2 linked regions of the Kluyveromyces lactis genome follow. Each later gene encodes a partner of the first gene's protein in a complex. Links are inferred from orthologs where the notes say so. Each region holds a gene or a part of one and is shown in the gene's direction. Other genes may lie near its edges.

Region 1 (6,445 bases):
GTGTGTAACTATTTATGTTGTACAAGTATTCATGTGGATCGTCCTGAATCATTTGGTTTTACATTAGAATTTGAACGGCTCTGCGTTGGCCTGTTCGCTGGAAACTTGTGTGGTGTTTATTGTAGGTTTTGATGGTGAAATACTCAACGGTATTAGCATACCACCTGGCAATTTGCTTGCAGTGGACTCTACAATTGATGTGTCCTTGAACTTCTGTGGCGTTTCTGTTAATTTAAGGATATTTGAATGCATGTTTCGAAGATCATCATCTTTGAAAGTATTTGAAGGCAACGGAGGTGATGGCATTGGGCTTGGAGTGCGTGTTCCGTTCAAACTACCTCGTATCACTTCTTCGGTACTTTGATCAGGTAACTCCATATCACTGCTATTGTCTTCGAAATTGAACCCATATCTGAATACTATTGGTTCTGATTTGTTTCGTTGGAATTGTAGTAAAGCTCGTTGCTCTGCAGGGAAATGATGCGATGGCTTGGTACTCACTTCATCGCCCGTTACTTCTGTGTTCAGTTCGATATTCGTAGTATCAAAGTCTTTGGTATTTTTAGCAGATAACAAGTACGCGGCACTCTTCATTATCTTATATATCAGGAACGGGACAGTAATGAGTATAATCATCAAAATTATAGGATCCTTATTCTTGACTTTATACTCTATAACCTCATACAGAGTAATCCATTCCAACTCTTTAACAGGCCTAGTGAGAGCGTTGGGACATGAAATGGAGCATATATCCTCAATTAAATGTGGATCCATGTCGGCTACTTTATCCATAATTGGTTTGTTAGGGGTTTTTACTAAATTGCCAATAGATTGGAAAAGCTCACCAAAATTGATTCTGGCTTGCTCCAACCAGCCCCTATGAGCCATTGATTCAGGTACCATCTTCTGGTAAATGGTGTCGGGATGTTCAATTCCTTAGTATGCGTGCTTTATCTTTTCCCTAAACTATCTTTTCCTTCCATAGATATGTGAAGACTTGCCAATTTATCAATAACTTTTCCAGATTTACTTGTACTTGAATTTTGGTTATACATACATGGTAAAAGTTGATAACCAATCAATACAGTATGGCTAAATGATTTCCAGTAGCCCTCGATGAGACGTCTTTTAGTCCTAAAACTCATTAAAACATTCATTAAAGCACAGAGAAGTCTGGACACCAGGATAGGTGTCCGTGCATATACGGACAATCTACATACTAAAAGTTTAATATCTATGCAATGGCTCCCAAACTCATTAATATCACCTGAATTATCAGTTGTAGGGACCAGAACCCAACACGTTTCATCCTCAAGTTGATTCTTTCATCATCTGCTACGTAGTTTGCAAATGCATCATAAACTTCTGCACTTAAATCGTCCATTAATCTGCTGTCATATATGGTCCACGATCCTGCAAAATCATTTAGATTCTTGACTACGCGACATCTGATCGGAATATATGTCCTCCTTGAGTTGATATATCCGACGATAGGTCTAATCAAAGCATTATTGATGTACGACAAGCCAGGAGTGAATAGCGGAACTTCTGCCTTGACATTATGTAAACGTAGCAAAAAATCCATTATGAAATATTGCTTCACATCAATATCCTTTTGCTCTTCGAAATTCCCTGGAATGAACCCAGAGTGACGGCGAGTTTCTTTCACAATACGGTCCCTAACCACTGTCAATATTTCAGAAAGTTGCGATGGGTCAATATCATTTTCTGGTAGCAACAAATCACCGATCATATCAACGTGACCGCTAGTAATCCATCCGAAAGGACCCTCAATGCCAGCATTCAAATGATCAATATTAAGATTATCAACTCTCATCCTTGTGACTTTGTGCCAAGGTGATGAACTGGAGGACTCCTCATCAGTATCACGTTGTTTGAATTTTTTGTGAATGGTGAACATTGAATTGTCATAAGCGCCACTGATATTATCAGCGTTTAAGAAATCAAAGAAAAGCCAATGTTTCCTCAATTGAGGGAGCTCACAGTTGAATACACTGACCAGAAATGGCCTAAACCCGCCTGGCTGGTATAATGTGAACAAAACATCGTTCATGACAAACTTTGAGATTTCGAAATCACCAGGTTGATGAACGTTTAAATAGTTCCTAGCGTCATCATTTTCTTTCCAAAAAACGTGAGTTCTGTCAACAACACCACGTAGCCCATTAATAGTGACTTCATCTAGAAATCCTTTCCCGTTTATCCATTTACTTAAGGAAACCGAAATCTCGACTTGATCCATTGTCAAATCGAATTGTGTGTAGTTACCATCATCAAAATCCTCTCTACTCACCAATAATCGCTCACTTAATGCTAATTTTGCCCTCTCAACAGCTTCATGTTGAGAACCTTTGCTGAACCCATGGGGAAGCTTAGGTCTTCTAGATACGAACACTCTATTGAATGAAATTTTTCCTGAAGACCAGTCAGGAACAATTGCACTTTCAAACACTACCGATAAAGCACTGTTCTTTGTTAGAAAATTACCGACTTTAGTAGCCAAATACTCTTGTGCAAATACCGTATTCATCAAGTAGATGGCCAATGATAGAAATGAGGTGGTGAATAGAAATATGAGAAGCATATTACTAACAAGAACCCAACTAACAAATGCACTAATATCATCTGTATTGAACGGCCTCATCGATCTGGTCAAAGTCCATTTGAGGTTAATTTTTAAGCGCTGGAGTATATTTGTTGCCTGTGCAAGTAATCTATCGCGTTCGGTGATGAATCTAAATGTTGGTTGTTGCTGCTTCGTATGTTTCCTAGCAGGTTGCTGGATTTCCGATTCTTTGCCCTTTTCATTGCTCTCTGAATAGTGTCGTAGCCCTCCTGTGAAAGCGAAGACATCTCTTTTAGGATTCACGTTCGGCTTCCATGACTTAATATGAAAGTAATTCGAATAACATCGTCTTAGAACTACAGGTCTGTAAATGGTAGATGAAAGGATGGGCCTTGAACCTGATCTTGCAGCCGTTACCCAAGATAATGAATGTCGAAACATTGATCTGCCATTCAAATTCGGATGGGCTGATGATTGTGTTAATAAATGGAACAGCGGCAGGTTATTGTTTTACCCTGATATGCATCTCAAACTGTCAGTATGTGTAATATCGAATAATTCATACCTGTCTTCAACGTTTATTTCTAATTGCGGGTTAATGTACGGGAAAACCTGTTAAATAAAAAAAAAAAGAAAATAGAGAACGAGCATGTTGTGGCACATTTGAGATATTTATACTGTAGGTCTCCTCAGTTTGAGATCAACTTGAAGGTCATTCAAGCTTTTATCTGTTTGAGGAGGTCCTGGGACACAAATGAGAAAACAGCACAATAACCATTCAGTAAAATACGAGTGACAAGCGACTTACCGTTGAGCTAAGTTGTCAACCATGACTTTCAACGAAAGTTGCTGCTTTAGCTCAGTTGGGAGAGCGTATGACTGAAGTTCATAAGGTCCTGTGTTCGATCCACAGAAGCAGCATTTCGATTTATTTTTATTGTCCTTTTTGTTGTCCACGTGACAACTATTCGCATGTATTCCCGTTCTAAAGAAAAAAGTCAATTTGTCGATGAAGAAAATCTTGAAATTTCGTTGAACAAAGTTTTATTCTCTCTCTCTTCCAAAAGTTCTTTATGTGTTGAGGTAATTAAAGAGCTTTCATCTCCTCAGATCAACCCAATTAACTCAATTGAACCATCATAACTAACATAATGTCTGAAATTGCCCAAGACTCCAACGTTTCCATTTTTTCCAAAAATGAAAAGAAGGCCAGAGAATTGATCCTAAAGTTGGGATTGAAGCCAATCCAAGGTGTTTCTAGAGTCACTTTCAAGAAGAAGGATGGTCAAATCTTTGCTATCGACAGACCAGAAGTTTACAAGTCTCAAGGTGGTAACTTTGTTGTTTTCGGTGAAGCCAAGGTTGATGATTTCACTCAAAGATTAGCCAAGGCTCAAGAATCTCTTCAACAAAATGAAGGTGTTTTGCCAGCTGGTCAAGATGCTGTTTCTAAGGACCCACAGTCCATCCAAGCGGACATGCAAGCTGCTGCTGACTCCGCCACTGACAAGCCTTCTGCTGACGACGCTGTAGATGATGCTGAAGTCGATGAAACTGGTTTGAACGCTGACGACATTGAATTGGTCATGCAACAAGCCGGCGTCCCAAGAGCTAAGGCTGCTAAGGCTTTGAAGGAGCACGACTCTGACATCGTCAACGCTATCATGGCCTTGTCTGGTTAAAAAGCACAGGAATAGTAGATAACTAGATAATTCATTTTTACTTGTATACTTATCTACTGCAAACTCGTATCAGATCCTATTTCATTTCTCTTCTAGTTCTGGAACTTCATGAAGTGTGTCAGAGGCCTCGCTTTTGCTACTAGCTGGTGCGGCTGTGTTCGAGGGCTTTGTAGCTAGTTTGGATCCGCAATTGGAACACACGTATTGGAACGGTACACCAGCTACTGAGTAGCAGCCAAAGGACATTTTACATTGTGAACAAACTATTAACGATATTGATGGTTGTAATGTTTTTATGTCATCACCACCTGCTAGTATACCTAGGGCTTTATCGAACCATTTCTCACGTGCTTCAACATCTTGAGTCTTCTGTTTCTCATTTGTGCGCAATTGTTCCAATTCCATCTTAAGCTTCTCTAGTTGTTCATGCTTCGCTTTCACTTCATCGTCCATTAGTAACATTAAATCATCAGATCCACTTTCACCGCTGGAGTACCGTTGAATTAGTGAGTTAGTGTGATAGAAATTCGTTTTCTGTTTCAATTCCTCCATCTTCTCTTGATGTAAGGATATTAATGCTGAGAGCCTCGACTCATATTTTTTATTGAGCATGAGATAGAATCTTGTTATGGCAAGCCTTATGCATATTAGTAAAGCTAGTGCTACAATGCTGCATAAGATAGCACGCGAAGATGAATACTTCAAATAAACATATGCAATTATGCAAACCAATAACGTCAAATAATAATAAGTTACTGTTGCACGTAAACTTTTGGCTCTATCTTCGATTCCCTTCAATTTCGTTTCGTAGTCATGTATCTTATTCGTTATGGAAGATAAGTCTTTGTTATACCTTTGAACTAACTTCTTAACATCATTATCGCCACTTACAATCTTTCGTACGGCGCTCAACATGTTAAGGTATCAATATCTACTTCCCTTTGATGTCCGATCTCGAGAAACCCTTTATTTTAGGTAGTCCATTTTTTTTTACATAGTTGTTTGTAGGCTATAATGATCCTTTAAATATCAAATCCATGTTATTTCTAAATCATATTGACGAAAAATTATTGAAATTGAAGAATTCGGGAACAGACGATGGAATGACGCCAAAACAAGTCAGTTTGGGTTTCTTAAAACCTTATATATCCATACAAATATCGCTTGGATACTGCCTTTGCACCCAAACTTCTAGTTATGCCAAGTGTGGATATTTCCGTTAATCAATTGATAGATATATTCGCGGAAGATCGCGATACACCACCGACAGTAAGTACATCCTTAGGTCATGTCATGATAGAAATTCAAGGAGACTTGCAACATCCACAGAAGTCAATTGATCCTGCATTGGATGTGGACTCAAGGTTTATAGAGCATGAAGGAAATGGATTGGTACGATTTGGCATATTATCCTACGATCTGGAAACAAAACACGTTACGCTCTTTATTGGGAACAAACAAAGACTTATGGGTTCCATTGTAAAAATTGAGCCACCATTGGGACTCTTGAAATTTGACAAAGCTGATGGAACTGTTAGCCTGCGAGACGTACTCAAATATAAGATAATATTCAAGAATAGACCGCTTCCGATTATGTAGAAATAAAGACTTCTTAAGAACGTATTCTCTAACTATAAACAATGCATAAGGAGGATGATTTGGATTATAATTTCCAACCTGTGGTTAAGTTTAACTCATTGAGTCTTGATTGATTAAATACAGGGAATGGATGGGCCTCAGTATTAAATACAATCTTGCTTAGCTCAACATCATCGTCGAACAAAAGGTAAAGATATTTCAAAGTCTCTGCTAGCCAGAAACTCTCAAGATTGTCAGCTTTGTCTGTTGGTAATGAAATAACATTATGCAACGAAGTGTATGCGACCTTTTCTTCGCCATCCGCCGCGACTTTAATGACTTTAGTATGCTTGATGAAATTGCTAAAGATTTCCCATCCCCAGTGTCTATATTGTTCATTTCCTGATAAATGATACAAAAACATTAGAGATTCGACAGTTTCTGGGCGTTGGATGTTGTGTTTGTCAAAGGGCTTTACGAAATAGTCTTCGGACTCAGATCTCCACCAGTTAGGTTCAGCGTTAGGGTAGTTACTATTGAAAACAACGATTTCTGGTGACAATCCTGATGGGATTTGGTGATACATTTCATAACAAGA
Region 2 (6,614 bases), on another chromosome or scaffold:
GTCTTTGAAGACCCAATCGGCTTCAAACTCATACCCAAAACAGATTTCTAGTTTGTTAACTACGTTCCATTCACTATTCTTGAAATTGTTCCCCGACGATGCCATAGATACTTGCAATTTTTCACCGTTAGATTTCTTGACACAGCAATGGAAGTTGGCTATCCCAAGGGTATGTTTCGATCCACTATTGGTTCTTTTCGAAGAGTTTGTTCCAAAGCGATTACATCAACAAATCTTGGCCAAGCCTTTGATCTCGGGTCTCGTTACTGAGATAATCACGTTGACTAGAACCATGGGTGCTAGATTGCCTTCCGGTTACGATACAGAAAGCGATCTTTTGGAAAGATGGGTCGCGGATAATGGTGAAAACAACTACCCCTCGTTGTTGTACCATTTCGAACATAGATCTGCACCACTAGATATAGATTTGTTATTGCTACAACCGATCTTACTGGCGGATGATTTTACGATAAAGACACCCTATTTGGAGTTCTTATACTCTATGATGTGTCAATTCAAGAAATTGAACAATGATGAATCTAAATTGTTTACAAGATCTGATAAAGTATCCAAGTTAAGAGATGAACTCGGTCAACTATCGTTGCTCAAGGGGACTCTTAAGGATAAAGAAACGGAATTCAACCTAAAGCTCAACGAATCGAAGGAGGCTTATCAGAACGAAATAAACTCTAGAGACAGCCAAATTTCGATGTTGGGAGATCAATTACAACGAGAACAATCTCAAAATTCATCTTTGAGACGCGAATTGATCGCTATACAATCTGAACTTTCGACATTAAGACAACTGCAAAGTCAAAACCAAAGTCAAACTCAATCTCAATCTCAGCCTCTATCGGAACCACGGACTCCGGTTGAACCAACAAGTCAAGTGCCTGAGCAACAATACACTGAGACAGGAACTCCTGTACTGCGCGACATCGAGGATATGGCTGTTTACGCCATTCCATATGCCGAATCTCCAGTGCAGGACTCCCTCGGCATCAATGGCGAAAACCCAGCATCAACGAATGCTGCTGTGGCAGGAGCATCTGCGGCTGCATCTGCTGCAACACCACCGTCATCAGCTCCGTTGTCAGCGGATGAACATGCATTAAGAGAAAGAGAACTGAAATTACGCAGAAGAGAACTAGAATTACAGGAAAGGGAACTACAGTTGCAAAAGAAACAGTCTAAAACGATGTTGAATCAAAAATATGCTCATGCGCAGAGCAAAAACGGTATGTCACCGAACGAGAATCCATCACAATATTCAAATCAAATGCAAAATAGGAAATTACATGGACAATCATATATGGGGAAACCACCTCAAGGAATTCCAGGTCAATACATGGCTCCTCATGTACAACAACAACCACTGCAGCAAGTTCCTCAACAGCATCGTCAGCATTCAAGTGTAGGTCTCCCAGGAATGCCGGGCGTAGGAGGCTACTCTGGGTCCGTTGTTGGAATCAACGGAGGTGGACAAAGACCAATGAACGGGTTTGGAATATCACAAAATATGTTAGATGGGGCAGCACCAATGGGATCTAATGGGTTTGGACCTAAAACATTCCAAAAAACAAGCAGGAAGAATAGGCGCAGTAATATGCCAATGTTAAGAAATCCATCAAATACGATGCTAAGCGATTTCAACATGCCACAAGCACCAACTGGTCAACAGAGGTTCAATTCTCTGTCTGGTAACCTCCCTCCACTTTCCATGAATTACCATAATGGTTCCATGCCAAGACTGAACGGTAACCCTAATCCAATGAGAACTGGTTCACAAGGCCAACTATCAAATTTGCCAACACAACCACAACAACAGTACCAACCGGTTCCAAACGGGATGAGACAAATCAGTACCAGTACAATGCTCGACGAGGGTGAGTCTACTGCCTCTGTGATTCAAAGACCTCCAAATGCTTTCCAACAACAGCAGCAGGAACAGCAGTTTGGATCGAATTCTAATTCAAACCCAAATTCAAATGTAAATCTAACCTCAACTTCCAACTCTAATTCCTTCTCAAACTCTAATTCCCATTCAACATCTCCTCCACCATTAGAATCTGATATATCATCAACCAATCCACCATCTTCGTCGAAAACAAACCTTTCCCCAGTGGAACCACAGGACAAACTACCATCAGATTCTAATAACGAACAAAATCAGAAATCAAATGAATTAAAGAAGTCCAAGTTCTCCTTCTTTCATTCTAAAAAGAAATGATCTTTTCTCATACAAGATATGCGGTTGCATCAATTCATAGTCCGATGTTTTTCATATTTGTCAAGACTTGGAGGCCATAAGCACCAGACCAGAACTCACATATCCACATGAAACCATTCTTGTATAAAAATAAAACACATTGTAACTACGTATGTATTATGTCGCCTATATTACAATCAATTAAGACCTTCACGTATACAAGATACTGTGTCATAAACTCGATGCCATGAACTCAAACCCAGTACGCTTCATGAACAACCTACATCCATAGACATATACACTGCAGGTATATAACCATTGACTGTCATTTAGCAAAAAAACTTATCCCCGGGTAACAGCACGAAATTTTTTTCTCGTCAACGAACGGCATGAAATCCAAATCTGAAATTTGGCATTTGGAAGAGAGTTTTTGAATTGAACATCAAGTTAAACCTGTTTCGATGGCAAACTTTTAGGTTTAAACTGTGAATTGATTCGTTTATTTATTATAGTTGTCTTATTTTGTAATTGTGATTTATAGTCAATTGAAATTCGAGATCCAATAGAACATTAATTGATAGTAACCAAGGAATAAAATGCCAATTGATCAAGAAAAATTAGCCAAGTTGCAGAAGTTGTCAGCCAACAACAAGGTCGGTGGTACCAGAAGAAAGTTTGCCAAGAAGAGTGGTTCTTCCAGCAAAGATGACTCCAAGTTGCAAGACCAATTGCAGAAATTGAGAGCTGTTACTGTTGATAACGTTCAACAAGCTAACTTCTTCAAGGATGACGGTACCGTCTTGCACTTCAACAAGGTTGGTGTCCAAGTTGCTCCACAACATAACACCTCCGTGTTCTACGGTATTCCACAAGAAAAGTCCTTGCAAGAGTTGTTCCCAGACATCATTCCTCAAATGGGTGCTGATGCTATCAACGCTTTGACCCAAATGGCTTCTCAATTGCAATCCGCTCAAGGTGCCAACCAACAAGCTGCTGCTCCAGAAGCTGAAGGTAAGGATATTGATATCCCTGAATTGGTTGAAGGTCAAACTTTCGAAGCTGACGTCGAATAAATTACCAACTAAAAGGCCAGGCAATGGTACCCTCACTTATATTAATTCCACGTTTCCCGAGCTTCGAATCAAATTCTAAAGAATAGGAAATTTTCAACAGGAACAAATTACAAAGCACACGAATAGTGAGCATTTCACTCTTCACTCTTTACTCTTCATATATTGTTTCTATATAATTGCAAAGTAGTTATGATTATTAGAATTGTTTCCAGTAAAGGTTTGCTACATAGTCTTCAAACTAATGAGATCTTTCGACTGTCATTCGATAGTTAACGAAAAAAAGATTACAATTATTATTAGTTTTTTTATCACTTGGAACCGCTATATATCGTAGCACCACTTTGTCGCGCCCTCTCGAGTATCTCGTTTATGTCGCCTCCTATACTGAGTAGTTTCTGTCTGTTTCTCTTACAAGTTTGTGTATCGAAATGTCTCTTTAGTGCATCTTTCCTTGCAAACCCTTTACCACAGAGCGTACAGATATTTGGCAAAATCGGTAGATGTTGTCTCTCATGTCTCCTTAGATCACTGCTGCGGCGGAATACCATGTGACACTTCTCGCAGGGAAATCTTTTATCGTCTAAATCAGCGTTATTACTACCATCTGTGCTGTCTCTGTCATATGGTACAATGGCAGTATCTGAAGACCCCGATAATATTTTCTTTGATGGCAGTTTCCTTTTCTTCGACCTGTTCTCCAATTCCGTGGAAGCCCTACGTTGATGGTAAGTATCGTTAGAATGCGACAAACTTGGTGTCATTCCATTATGGTTCACTGGAGTGTGTCCAGTGGAATGCGATGTGCCATCGTTATTTTGATTGGCGAAATTTACAGGATTCGATAAAAGCTTATCGAAATAATTCAGTATCGTCTTATTTTCAGGAGCTATTACCCCTGCAGGTCCCACACCATCTATATTATTATGGCCCTGAGGATGGTTGTTATATGGGATGTCGTTCCGGTGATTCTTATTCAATGATGCGTACTGACTGCTAGCAGATCCTAACGCGGAAAACGGCAGATTATTTGTCTGGTGTTGTGATGGCGGTGCAGGCGTGCTAACATATTTGACTCTATTCAACAACTCTCTTATTGTAGGATCAACCTTCTCTGAATTCAAACTAGTTACCATGATTGCCTCTGCTGCCTTCTGGAAAAAGATACTATCTTCGTTCATGGGTTATTAATTAGAAAAAAACCAAAAATTCTATGTTCGTACCTCTCCTGCCTCTCTTACTCTCTCTATCGGTGGTTTGCAAATCTAACTCAAAAGAGTACCTCAAAACTTCGCTGTTATACTTTCGTTAACTTGATGAGCGAGCACTCTATGAAATGTATCCGGTTGTTCCTTTTTCAACGTTTGTTTAAGACTGTTCGTTTCCTAAATTCACAGGAATGAAAATCCGCTTAAACTATGTCAATAAAAATCTCCAGCATTGTTTTAAATCAAACCCAGTGATCCGACCAAACTCTTGTCCAGGAAGTATCCTTTGTAGTCTTCTCGCTAAGTCTATTCAAAGTTGCTTTATCAGTCTCTCTGTATACAAATTAACATCAACAACAGCCTTTGATACGTTTTTCAGCCCGACGCCACAGTTTTTGCTTCGTTACTGTGTGCATGAGTAGTGAATATCACGTGCGCGGTCACGTGAGCGCATTGTCCATCGTTACTCTTCAAGAGAAATGATTGTGTCGCAACAACATACATAAAATGCATATACAAAAACCATTATCCAGCTCATAATTTGACCAGGAAGGTTCTATTTACCATTTGTTTACCCATTTCGTTGAATGACTCGTAGTCCGACGGTGTGAGGTAAGTTTCTTGGTCGTCTTGGTTCGTATAGCAATTGGTAAACGTACCAAAATCCGTCGATCTGATGTTCACAGTGGTTCTTGTTGCTATAGATCCCCGCATAGAAGCGGTATTGTTTTGGGAAGCATGATTGGATTCGTTAGCTCCAGTCTGTGCTTGTGCATGAGCAGTTTGGTACTGCTGCCGTTGTTTCTTTAAAAACTCAGATTTAAGAATGGGACCTACGATTTCACAACAGTGCCGAAGCTGCTCGTTGGATACTCCGGCAGCGCTTGACACTAACAGCATAGATTTTTCCGTATTGGCCATTGTGTGTCCCTGTGGATAAGTCAAGGCTAGACACGCGACTACGACTTTCCGTACGTCGTATTTCAAATATTTCATGTAATTCTCACGCGATTTGACACACGCTTCGAAGAATTTGATCGACAAGATACACATCTTCTTGAACTGGTGCCTCGTGGCTTTCACGCGGGTTAGCAAAATTTTAACAAATTTCATTAGATCGGCTAAGTTAATTGCTGGGGCCTTGCATGTTTGTTTCTTCCCTTGTTTTGAATCGAATTCAACTGGGACGAACAACCTGCTATATTTGATTAGCGCACCGGCACAGAAATTCTTTAACATGAAACCACTCAACTTATCCATTTCAACCTTGTACCTGTATCTTTTCTTCAGATCCATTATTGTTTGTTGACCGGTGTTATTACTCATCGATGGATCTGGGGACATAGAACCACCACGTCCGGAAGTTGACGAACAAAAGTTCCCGCTCATTGGCGAAGCAGATAAACCCGGTTTCTGAAATTGCGTTTGCTGGATTTTAACCACTTCTTCTTGGGTGATATGCTGTGGCGATGCACCGTTTAACTCTAACATATCTCTCTATCTTATTACCGAACAGAGAGAAAAAAGAAGTTTGGACCCTATGACTTGCTCTCAGCCATAAGCGGTCTCTTTTTTCAAGCAAAGGGCCAACAGAACGGTATTGAAACGATACAAGTCCGGATTCAGAGCAGTTGCAGATGAACGGTAACAATGCTGTTCTTTTTCTGCTTAACTCCTAGGTGAATCCATCTGTTTCCTGAAGTTTGACTTAAATGTGACTAACATCTGCCTCTTTTTCTTTAAAAAAATTAGGTTTTGACATATTCTTGGTGATTACGCCATACTTCAGCCTATCATCAGAAAGGAAATTTGTGAAAATTAATTTAATTTTGAGAGCATTGTGCACGTGACTAGATTTGTTGATACTTTAACATGTAACGGTAAAAAAAAAATGGATCCGACAACCGATGATTAAACAAAATACCAATACATGTTTAACACCACCATTGACAGAGTTAAGCGGTACGTGCTTGGTGAGGTGTCTAGTAGAATTTGATATTTTGGCGACTGAGTGATGTTGCGTGCCTTCACTACAGTGCGGAATGCTTCCTCACATTCTTATCAGAAGACTTTACGACTTCCAAAGACGAAATTCCCGAACAGATCTAACTTGCAGAAGACTTTAGA

Evidence for each region.
Region 2: EGD2 (region 1) and EGD1 share a complex: the UniProt entries of both Saccharomyces cerevisiae proteins name them as parts of the nascent polypeptide-associated complex. The link is inferred for Kluyveromyces lactis from reciprocal best matches to the Saccharomyces cerevisiae genes EGD2 and EGD1.

What each region holds. Positions count from the first base shown.
Region 1 is NC_006038.1:382,613-389,057, forward strand, and holds EGD2 (Egd2p), read left to right. Parts: upstream 1-3,738; coding exon 3,739-4,269; downstream 4,270-6,445. Other genes in the region: NVJ1 (Nvj1p), read right to left, coding at 64-903; MDM31 (Mdm31p), read right to left, coding at 1,235-3,028; LNP1 (Lnp1p), read right to left, coding at 4,351-5,184; CTF8 (Ctf8p), read left to right, coding at 5,467-5,868; MNS1 (mannosyl-oligosaccharide 1,2-alpha-mannosidase), read right to left, coding at 5,933-6,445. UniProt on the Saccharomyces cerevisiae protein: Component of the nascent polypeptide-associated complex (NAC), a dynamic component of the ribosomal exit tunnel, protecting the emerging polypeptides from interaction with other cytoplasmic proteins to ensure appropriate nascent protein targeting.
Region 2 is NC_006040.1:1,013,119-1,019,732, reverse strand, and holds EGD1 (Egd1p), read left to right. Parts: upstream 1-2,805; coding exon 2,806-3,282; downstream 3,283-6,614. Other genes in the region: SVL3 (Svl3p), read left to right, coding at 1-2,230; MET31 (Met31p), read right to left, coding at 3,591-4,460; KLLA0_D11880g (uncharacterized protein), read right to left, coding at 5,022-5,978; isoleucine--tRNA ligase ISM1, read left to right, coding at 6,502-6,614. UniProt on the Saccharomyces cerevisiae protein: Component of the nascent polypeptide-associated complex (NAC), a dynamic component of the ribosomal exit tunnel, protecting the emerging polypeptides from interaction with other cytoplasmic proteins to ensure appropriate nascent protein targeting.